2 linked regions of the Oryctolagus cuniculus genome follow. The protein of the gene in region 2 purifies or fractionates together with the protein of the main gene of each other region. This does not show direct contact. Links are inferred from orthologs where the notes say so. Each region holds a gene or a part of one and is shown on either strand. Other genes may lie near its edges.

The links.
Region 1: the proteins of LZTFL1 (region 2) and BBS7 purify together in Homo sapiens (affinity purification with mass spectrometry; 3 studies listed by BioGRID and IntAct, counting the BioPlex papers as one, with this or other methods). This does not show direct contact. The link is inferred for Oryctolagus cuniculus from reciprocal best matches to the Homo sapiens genes LZTFL1 and BBS7.

Annotation. Positions count from the first base shown.
Region 1 is NC_091439.1:43,202,323-43,207,187, reverse strand, and holds part of BBS7 (BBSome complex member BBS7), read right to left. Parts: intron 3,427-4,865; coding exon 3,240-3,426; intron 2,285-3,239; coding exon 2,212-2,284; intron 1,865-2,211; coding exon 1,748-1,864; intron 1,017-1,747; exon of another isoform or gene 1-1,016.
Region 2 is NC_091441.1:103,578,256-103,584,738, reverse strand, and holds the start of LZTFL1 (leucine zipper transcription factor-like protein 1), read left to right. Parts: upstream 1-2,725; 5' UTR 2,726-2,923; coding exon 2,924-2,926; intron 2,927-5,544; coding exon 5,545-5,669; intron 5,670-6,483. UniProt on the Homo sapiens protein: Regulates ciliary localization of the BBSome complex. Together with the BBSome complex, controls SMO ciliary trafficking and contributes to the sonic hedgehog (SHH) pathway regulation. May play a role in neurite outgrowth. May have tumor suppressor function.

The sequences.
Region 1 (4,865 bases), on a different chromosome or scaffold from region 2:
CCATGTATCGGGAATTCTGGGTGAAACCTAAACCTTAGAAGAGATGCTGGCTTGGCCTTGTTGGAGATGTTTCCTTTAGTTAGACATCTCATATTGAGGTTATGTGTTATATCGAAAATAAATAATTTGAGTGGGTTTAGACAATAATACATGGTATTTTGAATATGGACCTCCTCGTGACCAAATTATTAGTGACTAGTTCACTAATAGGTCCCTCGGGGAGTCAGGTTAACACAATGTCACATTTTACACCTGGTGTTAAAATGTTCTCCCTCCACCCCAACCCTTGTGATGAAATTAGTCCTAAAGATCACAGCAGGCCAATGCTGAAGTTACTCCCAGTTTGCTGCAGAGTGTCACATGCTTCGTGTGTTGGAAAGGAGTCCTGTTTACCCAGTTAATTCACTTTTTTCTGCCTGCCTCATAGACTGGATGAATATTTCAGTTTTTGGGATTGGTTATCTCTTAAAGAACTCTTTTTCAAAAAGTTCATGGAATATAATTTGTAAAGCCTCCCACACCTGAATGTGTGTGTGTGTACTTGTGTGTGTACACAAACAAAAGGTAGCAAGCTTTTAAGACAGCTGCATAGTAGTATTTATTTCAGAATCATACTTGTAGATGTGAGACTAATTTAATTATGGATTCCAGGTTAGCTCTTTTGTAAAAACTGCAGAATTATATTTTTGCTGCTGTTATACTAGCATAATTTCTAAATGTCACCTTGAAATAGAAACATGTATTTTAACTGCTAATACAAAGGTAAATTAACACTTTTAAAATGTGTGCAGTGTTTTTTAATTTTCTGTGTAAGACTCATAAATGTTAAATTACCTATAGTGGAAGTGATCAATAGTTTATGAGCAAGCTGGTTGGTCAGACATTATACACAAACTTTGATATACTACAGGATACATTATTGCAGTTGTGAAATCTCTTGTCTAACCTGAACTTACATTCCATGGTGATAGCATGATCTACATATTGTTATTAAAGTAAGTAAACACAAAAAAAAATTCCCTAGGAAATATGAATATTCCCTGACCCACAGACTGTATTTTTTCTTTGCCTCATTATAAGTACTCCTAGATTCCAACTAATTCTCTATTTCAGACCATGAAAAATGGATTTTAGCAAAGAATGATGCACATTAGCCTTTAAAATCCTGTCTATCCCAAATTACTATCAACATTTCTCACTTAGTATTCCAATAGTATGACAGATGTGATAACAAACAAATAGCAGATAAATTCAGAATTGGCTCTATGAGTTGCTAAATCTGCTATATAATGTGAATAAATAAAAGTTATATAATCTTTTTTTTTTTTTTTTTTGACAGGCAGAGTGGACAGTGAGAGAGAGACAGAGAGAAAGGTCTTCCTTTGCCGTTGGTTCACCCTCCAATGGCCGCCGCGGCTGGTGCGCTGCGGCCGGTGCACCGCGCTGATCCGATGGCAGGAGCCAGGAGCCAGGTGCTTTTCCTGGTCTCCCATGGGGTGCAGGGCCCAAGCACCTGGGCCATCCTCCACTGCACTCCCGGGCCACAGCAGAGGGCTGGCCTGGAAGAGGGGCAACCGGGACAGAATCCGGAGCCCCGACCGGGACTAGAACCCGGTGTGCCGGCGCCGCAAGGCGGAGGATTAGCCTAGTGAGCCGCGGCGCCGGCCAATAAAAGTTATATAATCTATAATCTATTTTGTTTCATAATCATTGAAATTTCAGAATATGAACTACAACAAAAGCATACCTCCCCTCTTCTTCTCATTTCGAATTTCCCACTTGTGTATTGGTTTAGATGCAGTGATCTGAATAAGCCCAAGTTTTCCATCTGATGTTCCAAACAAAATGTCCTCTCCAGAGTTACCTGTTTACAATTGAAATCAAACATACTACATTTATCCCATAATTCATAATCTCTCTTTAAACTTGAAAGTGTTTTCACATAAAAAATCTAATTTTTTAAATATTATAAGAAAACTTTGGAAGAACACTTACATATTTTTAACTCTACAAGTTAAAACCCTTTGCCATCATCTAATTTTAGATGAAGAAACTGAAAATCAAAATTCAGTAACCCATTATTGTTCATTACCGACAAGTTATTATAAAAAAAAGTGTTGCAGTTCTAGTTCATGTTCAATACACAATTTCCTGTTTCACTTAATGTTTTAATAATATATAGATGATTGAGTAAAATGAGATTTTGATTACCGCCATTTCCATTGTATAGTTCTAAGACGGTTGGTGGGCCAGGAATTTCAATTTCATACATTACATCAGATCCCTAAAAGGAGAATAAGTATTTAAAAATCCAAACGGTTTACAAATTTAAAATAATATAAATAACATCAATATTCAAATACAGTACTCTTATTAACACCTAGAATAAAACTGCTGAAAAAATTAGGTCATAAATATCAACTTGTATTTGTTAGTAATTTTATATATATTAACATTTTTGAAAATAATATATGTATAAAATGTAAAAATCAAGGAGAAAATACTAAAACATTCTCCTTTTTTTTTTTTTTCAACAGGCAGAGTGGACAGTGAGAGAGAGACAGAGAAAAATGTCTTCCTTTTTCCGTTGGTTCACCCTCCAATGGCCGCTGCAGCCGGAGCACTACTCTGATCCGAAGCCAGGAGCCACGCGCTTCTCCTGGTCTCCCATGCGGGTGCAGGGCCCAAGGACTTGGGCCATCCTCCACTGCACTCCTGGGCCACAGTAGAGAGCTGGCCTGGAAGAGGGGCAACCGGGACAGAATCCGGCGCCCCAACCGGGACTAGAACCCGGAGTGCTGGCACCGCTAGGTGGAGGATTAGCCTATTGAGCCACGGCACCGGCTCCCCAATCCAATTTTTTCCTGTAATTTGATTTTTTGGAGGGAAGTGAGGGTGAAATAAGAAGCTAACGAATTGTAAAGCCAAAAAGCTCAGGAGGGTTCTCTGTATTAGGAATATCCAATTCTGATTGTACTAATTCAGAAATTGTGTTTGGAGATGGGAAAAGCAACGTTTTTCTTCCACATATTGCTCCTAAAAACTTGTAAAAAATCTCAACACACTTGCCTCAAGTAAAAATAAATCAATTTACCAATTATTAAAATGTTTTTCCAGAAAAATTTTATATAGAACACTTAAATAGTAATCACTGAAACAGTTTATCTCAAGTGCACAACATTCATCAATATTCACTTATGTAAATTACACAAAGTTAAAAAAATACTAATAATGGTAACCTGTAAAACTCTGAGCACTCGGTCCTGGCAGGCCAATACTGGTGTAATACGTGGTACTCTTTCCACTGGAAGGCAGATGACATCATTGATTTTGTCCCCAGAAAGGTAGTAATGTTGGTCTTTGCAGTCACAATAATGGTTATAGATGTAATTTGCACTGAGAAAGAGGTCTGAGCCAGATATGTGCCTGAGAACATTAAAATAACAATTTAACACAGCCACATTTAAAAAATAAGCATAGGTCACTCCTGACTTTTTTTCAGAGGAAAATAAAACTAGGTGCCAGTGTTGTGACGCAGCAGCAGCAGGTTAAGCCACCACTTGTTAACACCAGCATCTCAAATGAGCACCAGTTATGATACAGCTCCATGCTAATGCACCTGGGAAAGCAGCAAATATGGGAGATCTGGATGGATTTCTTGGCTCGTAACATCAGCTTTGCTCAGCCTTGGCTGCTGCAGCCATTTTTGGAGTGAACCAGAAGATGGAAAAATCAATCTCTCTCCCTATCCCACCTTCCCCTCTAACTCTACCTTTCAAATAAATAAATAAGTCTTCAAAAAAAAGAAGAAAGAATGAAAACAAAAAAATAAACAGTTCACTACAATTTTACCATATTGAACATGATTTTCTTTCATTTCCCCCACTCAATTTTCTGGCTTTTGGGCATAAGACTGAAAACTGAAAATGAGGATCTTAAATCCTTGGGCCATTCAATAGACTGAGCTCAGAAAATCCAAAAATAAAAATAATGAAAATGTGATTATCTGAAGATAATTACTATATCAAAAAACAATTTTTCTTTTTTTAGATTTTATTTATTTATATGACAAAATTACAGACAGTGAGAGAGAGAGAGATAGAGAGAAAGGTGTTCCTTCTGTTGGATCACTCGCCAAATGGCCACAAGGGTCAGAGCTGTGCCAATACGAAGCCAGGAGCCAGGAGCCAGGAGCTTCTTTCCAGTCTCCCACGTGGGTACAGGGGCCCAAGCACTTGGGCCATCCTCCACTGCCTTCCTAGGCCATAGCAGAGAGCTGGATTGAAAGGAGCAGCCAGGACTAGAACTGGTGCCCATATGGGATGCCAGTGCTTCAGGTGGAAGATTAACCTACTACGCCACAGTTGGGCTACTTTTAAAATTTTTATTTATTTTCATTTTATTTGAAAGGCAGAGAAACAGAGAGAAATCTCCCATCTGCTGATCCACTCCCAAAATGCTACAACAAAAAGACTGGGTGAGACCAAAGACAGGAACACAGAGCAGCTCAATCCAGGTCTCCCGTGTGGTTGGCAGAAGCCATCATCTGCTGCCTTCCAGGTTGAACATGACCAGAAAGCTGAATTAGAAACAAAGGAACTGGGGCTCAAACCAGACACTCCAATACAGTACACAGGTATCTCAACCAGTGTCTTAACTTCTGTGCCAAATGCCTGCTCCTCACCTCACTGCACACACCCTATATACACACACATTTAATATCATTCTTATCAACTTTATAAAATTCTATATCTTTTTCAAGCTCTGCAAGTCCATTTTGAAGTCAATATGCATTATAATAGCCAAAGCACTATTTAGCAATCACTGTTGTTGACAAGAGTGAGGAATAGATGAAAGCATTGAGC
Region 2 (6,483 bases):
TCTTTGGTTCCCCTATGGGAAAATACACTTAATAACGCAAAGTGATGAACAACTCTGTTTCCTTACATCCCATAAAATTTTTGGTGCGACTCCATCTTGCAGGCATAACATCTAGGAACGTGACCTTCTCACTCCGGGAACCTGATCAATGTCTACTGAAGTTGGAAAGAACCAAGTATTGGGGTGATTTCCTATTGAAATGGAAAGTGTCTAGCCCACACTAAGCATTGAATAGTAGTGACCATTGTTACCAGATTCAACAAATACTTGCTGAATAGAAACCTGAGTGATAGGGGTTGGCATTGCGGTACAGCAGGTTAAGCTGCCTCCTGCGACACCAGCATCCCATGTGAGCAATGGTTCATGACCCGGCTGCCCCACTTCCGATCCAGCTCCCTGCTAATCCTCCTGGGTAAGCAGTGGAAGATGACTCAAGTGTTTGGGCCCCTGCACCCACATGGAAGACCCAGAAGAAGCTCTGGGCTCCTGGCTTCAACCTGGCCCGGATCTAGTCATTGCAACCATTTGGGGAGTGAACCAGCAGATGGAAGATCTCTCCCTCTCTCTCTCATCCCCCACCCTGTAACTCTGCCTTTCAAATAAATAATAAATAAATGTTAACAAAAAAGACAAAGAAATCTCAGTGATGGCAGCATAAAATGGAAATTTAACGGAGCTTTAAAAAGGCCGTGTGTGTGTGTAGGGGAGGATGGAGGTGAGAGAATGTGCCTTATGACCTTGCCAGGAGACAGAGATTCTGTACCCAAAGGGCAGGGTGCCTAGCCAAAGGCAAGGTTGGGCATAGCCACCCCAAGGCACACAATTGTGTGAAGAAATGAAAAGGAAAAGAAACTTCTTGCCACCAGAACCTGGTTTACCACTCACTGCATCAGAACAGAACCTGACTTCTGGGTCTGCGCTTGAAAACACACCTGCAACCGTTTCAATACAGACCTAGGCTGCAGATGCCTCCATGCAGCCTCCTGATGGCCAGGATACGTAAGCCCAGCTCAGTTTCTTCATCCAAAAAGCAAATGGGGAGAACCAAGTCTGCAAAATTCTTTCTAGACCTAAAAATCACCCCATGTGATCTATTTTGAAATTGCACTTTTAGCGATGATTCAGGACTAAAGGCAAATCTCTTTCTCCATGTTACATCTCCCAGTCTCTCAAAAAATGGTAGCTCTCTGCTCCGTGCCTTTTTTTTTTTTTTTTTTTTTTTTGACAGGCAGAGTGGCAGAGTGGACAGTGAGAGAGAGAGACAGAGAGAAAGGTCTTCCTTTGCCATTGGTTCACCCTCCAATGGCCGTCGCGGCTGGCGTGCTGCAGCCAGCGCACCGCGCTGATCCGAAGGCAGGAGCCAGGTGCTTTTCCTGGTCTCCCATGGGGTGCAGGGCCCAAGCACTTGGGCCATCCTCCACTGCACTCCCGGGCCACAGCAGAGAGCTGGCCTGGAAGAGGGGCAACTGGGACAGAATCCGGCTCCCCGACCGGGACTAGAACCCGGTGTGCCGGCGCCGCAAGGCAGAGGATTAGCCTATTGAGCCGCGGCGCCGACCCTCCGTGCCTATTTCTGTGTCTGTGTGAGCTCACTTTTTTCCTCACTCAGTTTCCAGTAATTTTACCTGGCTTCCATTTCTGTTTTCTAAGCCTGCTGTGCCCACTCCATGGTCTATGCCCACTCACCCCTGCCATGCCACTAACCCCTGGTACCTGCACTCATCTATCTCATCCTATACCCTTAAAAAAATTATTTCTGAAACTCAGAGCTACCGAGAGGGATGGAGGGACAGAGAGAGGTCTTCATCCACTGGTTAACTCCCCAGATGACTGCAGTGGCCGGGGCTGGGCCAGGCCAAAGCCAGGAGCCAGGAGCTTCTTCCAGGTCTCTTATGGGGGTGCTGTGGCCCAAATACTTGAGCCATCTTTTGCTTTCCTGGGCCATCAGCAGGGAGCTGGATGGGAAGTGGAGCAGCCAAGACAAGAACCGGCTCCCATATGGGATGCCGGAGTGTCCGGGCTTCACCCACTCTACCACAGCGGCCCCATACTTTTTTTTTTTTTTTTTTTTTTTTTTTTTACGGTAGTGTTTCTTAAGGAGCAGTCCAGTGATCATTCCTGGAAGGTCAGTAAGAACATCAGATTCCAAGAACCCACACTGGACTTCGCCCCTCAGAATTTGCTGGGGGGAGACCAAGGAAGCCGGTGGTTCTAGGCAATAGGAGATTTTCAGAACATACTGTTCTTTGAGAAAATCGAAGCTTGTTGTGATTGTTTTAAAAGGGGGAGAAATGCTCATTTAGTGACTTTCACCAGTTACATAAGAGAAAATAACGGCGGGGCAAGCTCTTCCACACTCTATCCAGGTAACTGGAAGCGCTGGTGTCGGCGTCGCTGTCTCAGCTACCCGGACGCTCAGGTAGGAACTGAACTCCCGGAGAAGAAAAGAACTCCTACGCCCCAGGAGACCGTTGGAAGGTCTAGGATAAGCCCTGGAAGACCCTGAGGCGCAGAGGCCACGGACTAGACCAGCGATTCTCAGCTCTGGAAGCGCCCGCGCCCTGCAGCGCACAGGCGCATTAGGGACCCCAGGCCGCCTCCGCCCCCTCCCGTTACCATGGCAACACCATCCGCTCCCAAAGTTCGCGTGGCGCGACAAGGCGGGACTTCCGGCTTAGGAACCAGTGCGCATGCGGCGGCCGGCGGGCTACGAGGAATTTCCTGTCGCGTGATCCCGGGAACCAACGAAATTGCCCAACTGCAGACCCACGTGCCTGCGTTCCCATTAGCAACCGGAGGCTTCTAAACACCCTCCCCTCCCGCCCCATCTTCGGTGGGCCTACCGCCGTCGGTCGTCCTCGGCTTAGCAAGGCTCCGTCCTGCCGTCCCTACTCCTGTAGGCTGCGGACTCCCGCCCGCCGCCATGGTGAGTGGCTGGCTCGCTGGCGCCGCACGGCTGGGGCTGGAGCGACAGGCTGTCCTCAGAGGACCCTCGTCCCGCTCGGAGCCTCGGGAGGACAGGAGGCCGGGCCCGGCCGGGGAGTTCGGGTCACCTCCGCCCCAGCGCCTCCGGGGTAACCCTGGGCGTCGCCTTTTTCTGGGGGCGCCGCTCCGCGGCGACGCTGATTTCTCATTCCTGAGCCAAGTCGCAGCTCGCAGGGGGCAGTGGCGAGAGCCTGAAGGGGTTTCTCTCTCCCCCCCTCCCTCCCTCCCCTTCTCTGTTTCTCTCTTCTCTGTCTCTTTCGCGGACACACACACTAACGAGAGCAGTCACGTGTTAACCAGCCATTGGAACACCGCTAGGGTTGTTACAATGATTTGTATACGAAGTAGTACAGTACCTGCTGAGCTACTAAGTAACCAATATGTGATGGGTTTTGTTACATTGTACTCACCTTTATCGCTAGAGCTGCTTCCTTGTTCCTCCCATGGTAAAATTGTGTGGATTTGTGGGCGCGGTCAGGATGCTGGGGTTCAGTGACTTGGTAACAGTCACACAGATGGATAGTTGCATCGGCGCACGGACAGCTGGGTTTTAGTCCAGTGCTGTCTCTTTAAACCCCATGTCAACCCAGTGCATTTCCGGGTGAATGACTTGACCTGCATACGTGGAGAATGCATGTGGAGACAGGCTGGGAGTCGCTGTGTCCCAGGCTGCTACTGCTCCCTCTCCTTGCTCCAATCCACTTTAGAGGAACTTTTCAGCCCTTATATCTAAAAATAATCCTTTTCAGTTGGAGAAATTTTTTTTTCTTCCTGGTCCTAGACCTCCTTCACAGGAGGGAAAGTAGCGAACAGGTGTAAATTGGCCACCTGCTCTGCACAAGACTCTACACCAGGTGTTGCGTGGTGTAAGAAATGATTCCTGTGTGCACGCAGCTTCCAGTCGGCTTGGAGCAGCAACACTGGAGAAGATTGAAAAAAAAAAAGATAATGCCACAGGTCGTAACCTGCGGTGGTGCCCGGTTAGGAGCACATGCTAGGTGTTGGAGGCTGGCGTAAAGCAGAGTTTCTGAGGGTGCATTGGGAAGCACCTCAGAGTAGGTAAAAAGAGGTTAGGCCTCGAAGGGGGCCGTAGGAGTTCAGTAATGTGGTGGACTGTGAGAGTACTTCAGAAAGTTCGTGGATTTTTACACCCAACTAAACTTGCCTGTTAACTGGAACATTTGAAGTACTCTTCATGTGGTTGTACTGGCTGCTGAGAGCCAGTTACGTGTTTCCTCTCATCTGTGCAGTCAGGGATGTTACACGGCTCCACTGAACTCAGCCGGCCGTGGAAGTATTTACACTGTGGAGATGAGCGTGACTGCAGATCAGGGGCCTCTCCCCAGAGAGCCTGTTGCTGAACTTACCGCACAGTGCTGGCTGCGATTCAGATTCCTGAACAGGCCGGGGGCGGGGGCTGGTTTCAGGCAAGGAGCAGGATACCGGTGAGTGCGAGTGGAGGCGGGAAATTCTAGGTTAGGCGTCAGGGCTGATGGGCAGGCTCGTCTGGCGGAAGTGGAGTGTTCACAGAGTAGGATTCTGGGAGACCGGGTTAGAGAAAGTGTGAAGGGTTTTAAAGACTGATGAGTACCATTTTTCTTAATCCCATGGCAATGAAAAATAAGAATTTATGCTTGTGGTTTATTTGTTGTTCCCACCCATGGTGGTGTGACTATCAGAGATAACTTTGTCTAATATAGTTGTTGGGCCTTTTTTTTTTTTTAATGCCTGGTGGAAATCAGCTTTGTAAACAATTGTTGCATTTGAATGGGGATGGATTTCCTCTAACTTCACTTCCTCTCTTCTCTCCTTCCTGCAGTCTAGTCCTTAAATGCCTGTTCCTCAGAACTGTTTTGTAAAATTCACCAGCACCTTCCTAATTACAAAGCCAGCTGCCAGGGCTGAGACCTTGCTCTGAGGTGACCTGCTGTACTGTTCGGCTGCTAGCCTTACTATCCTGGGTTTGCCTCCTATGTATCTGCCATGCTCTCCTGTGCTTGAAAACAGTGACCAAACTAAATTATGGCTATTTCCAAATGAAGTATGCTTTTTAAAGCTGTATTTTTTAGAGTAAAGGTTAAGTTCTTTAATACACACACACACACACACAAGCAGACTATGAAGGTTTAGTTTGCTCTCACTTAATGGCCATCTCACTGCTCATCTCTGGGGGTGAGCTATCTCCATGAGGGAGGCACACGTGTCCCTTTCATCCTGCAGCCCCTCCAGCCCTGTGGGCACTGGCCTGGCCTGCATGGGTCAGCTGAGTCCCCACATGTCTCAGGTTGCAGAGGAGCAGGGTGTGGCAAAGGCCTTACCTGTGTCTCAGGGCCCAGGCTTTGGACGGAGCCCACATCTCTTGTGCTCACACCATCCCTGAGAAGCAGTGTGGTGCGGAAGTGGCACCTGGCTGGGCAGCCACGCAGCCGGGAAGGAGGAGAGAGCAGAAGCTGATGCACGTCTTGCATTGTCTAGCACAGGGCAGCCTGTGTACTTTCATTGTTGGTTCTCTCTTCAGATCTCCCAGACTAACATGTGAATCCCTTCTCTCTTTTTCAGGCAGAGTTGGGTCTAAATGAGCACCATCAAAATGAGGTCATTAATTACATGCGTTTCGCACGTTCGAAAAGAGGCCTGAGACTCAAAACGGTGGACTCCTGCTTCCAGGACCTGAAGGAGAGCAGGTATCAGAGGACTCTGAGGAAGCCAGGTCGGAATGGGTTCCTCTCTGGTAGCCAGGACGGGGGTGCTGCAGTGGAGATCATAATGAGCCGTATCTGGGATCACCATCACCAGTGATGCTCTGAGAGCCCTCAGAGGTGTTCCAGACGCACTGCACCGAGTTGTGGTGGGTTGCGGTGGGAGCAGTGAACCTGTCAGACATGTGCAGGATAACTATGGGATGGTGGAGTTTCAGAAGGGTAGTCAGGAAGTCGCGAGGACCTTGTGGATTAATGAGTGGCTGATTGATTGGCTTCCTGTATTAAAGACTGCAGAACTTTACTTACTTGAGTTATTAATTAAAAGATTAGGGGCTGGTGCTGTGGCGTAGTAGGTTAAGCCTCTGCCTGGGGTACCAGCTTCTCATATGGGTGCCTGTTCGAGTCCCAGCTGCTCCACTTCTGATCCAGCTCTGCTAATGGCCTGGCAGAGCAGTGGTGGATGGCCCGAGTGCTTAGTCCCCTGCATCCATGGGGGAGACCCAAAAGAAGCTCCTGGCTCCTGGTTTCAGATCAGTGCAGCTCCAGCTGTTGCAGCCATCCGGGGAGTGAACCAGCGGATGGAAGACCTTTCTCTCTCTTTGTCCCTGTCTTTGTAACTCTGCTTCTCAAATAAATAAATGAAATCTTAAAAAGATTGGAGCCGTATGACATGGCAGTAAGCAACTCAAGCACCTCTGAAGCTCTTATTGAAGTTAGGACAGGGGAACATGGCAGGGATCCATGAACAACCTCCCTGAGCAGCGCCAGAACTGGTAGTTGATTTGAAGCAAGGGGT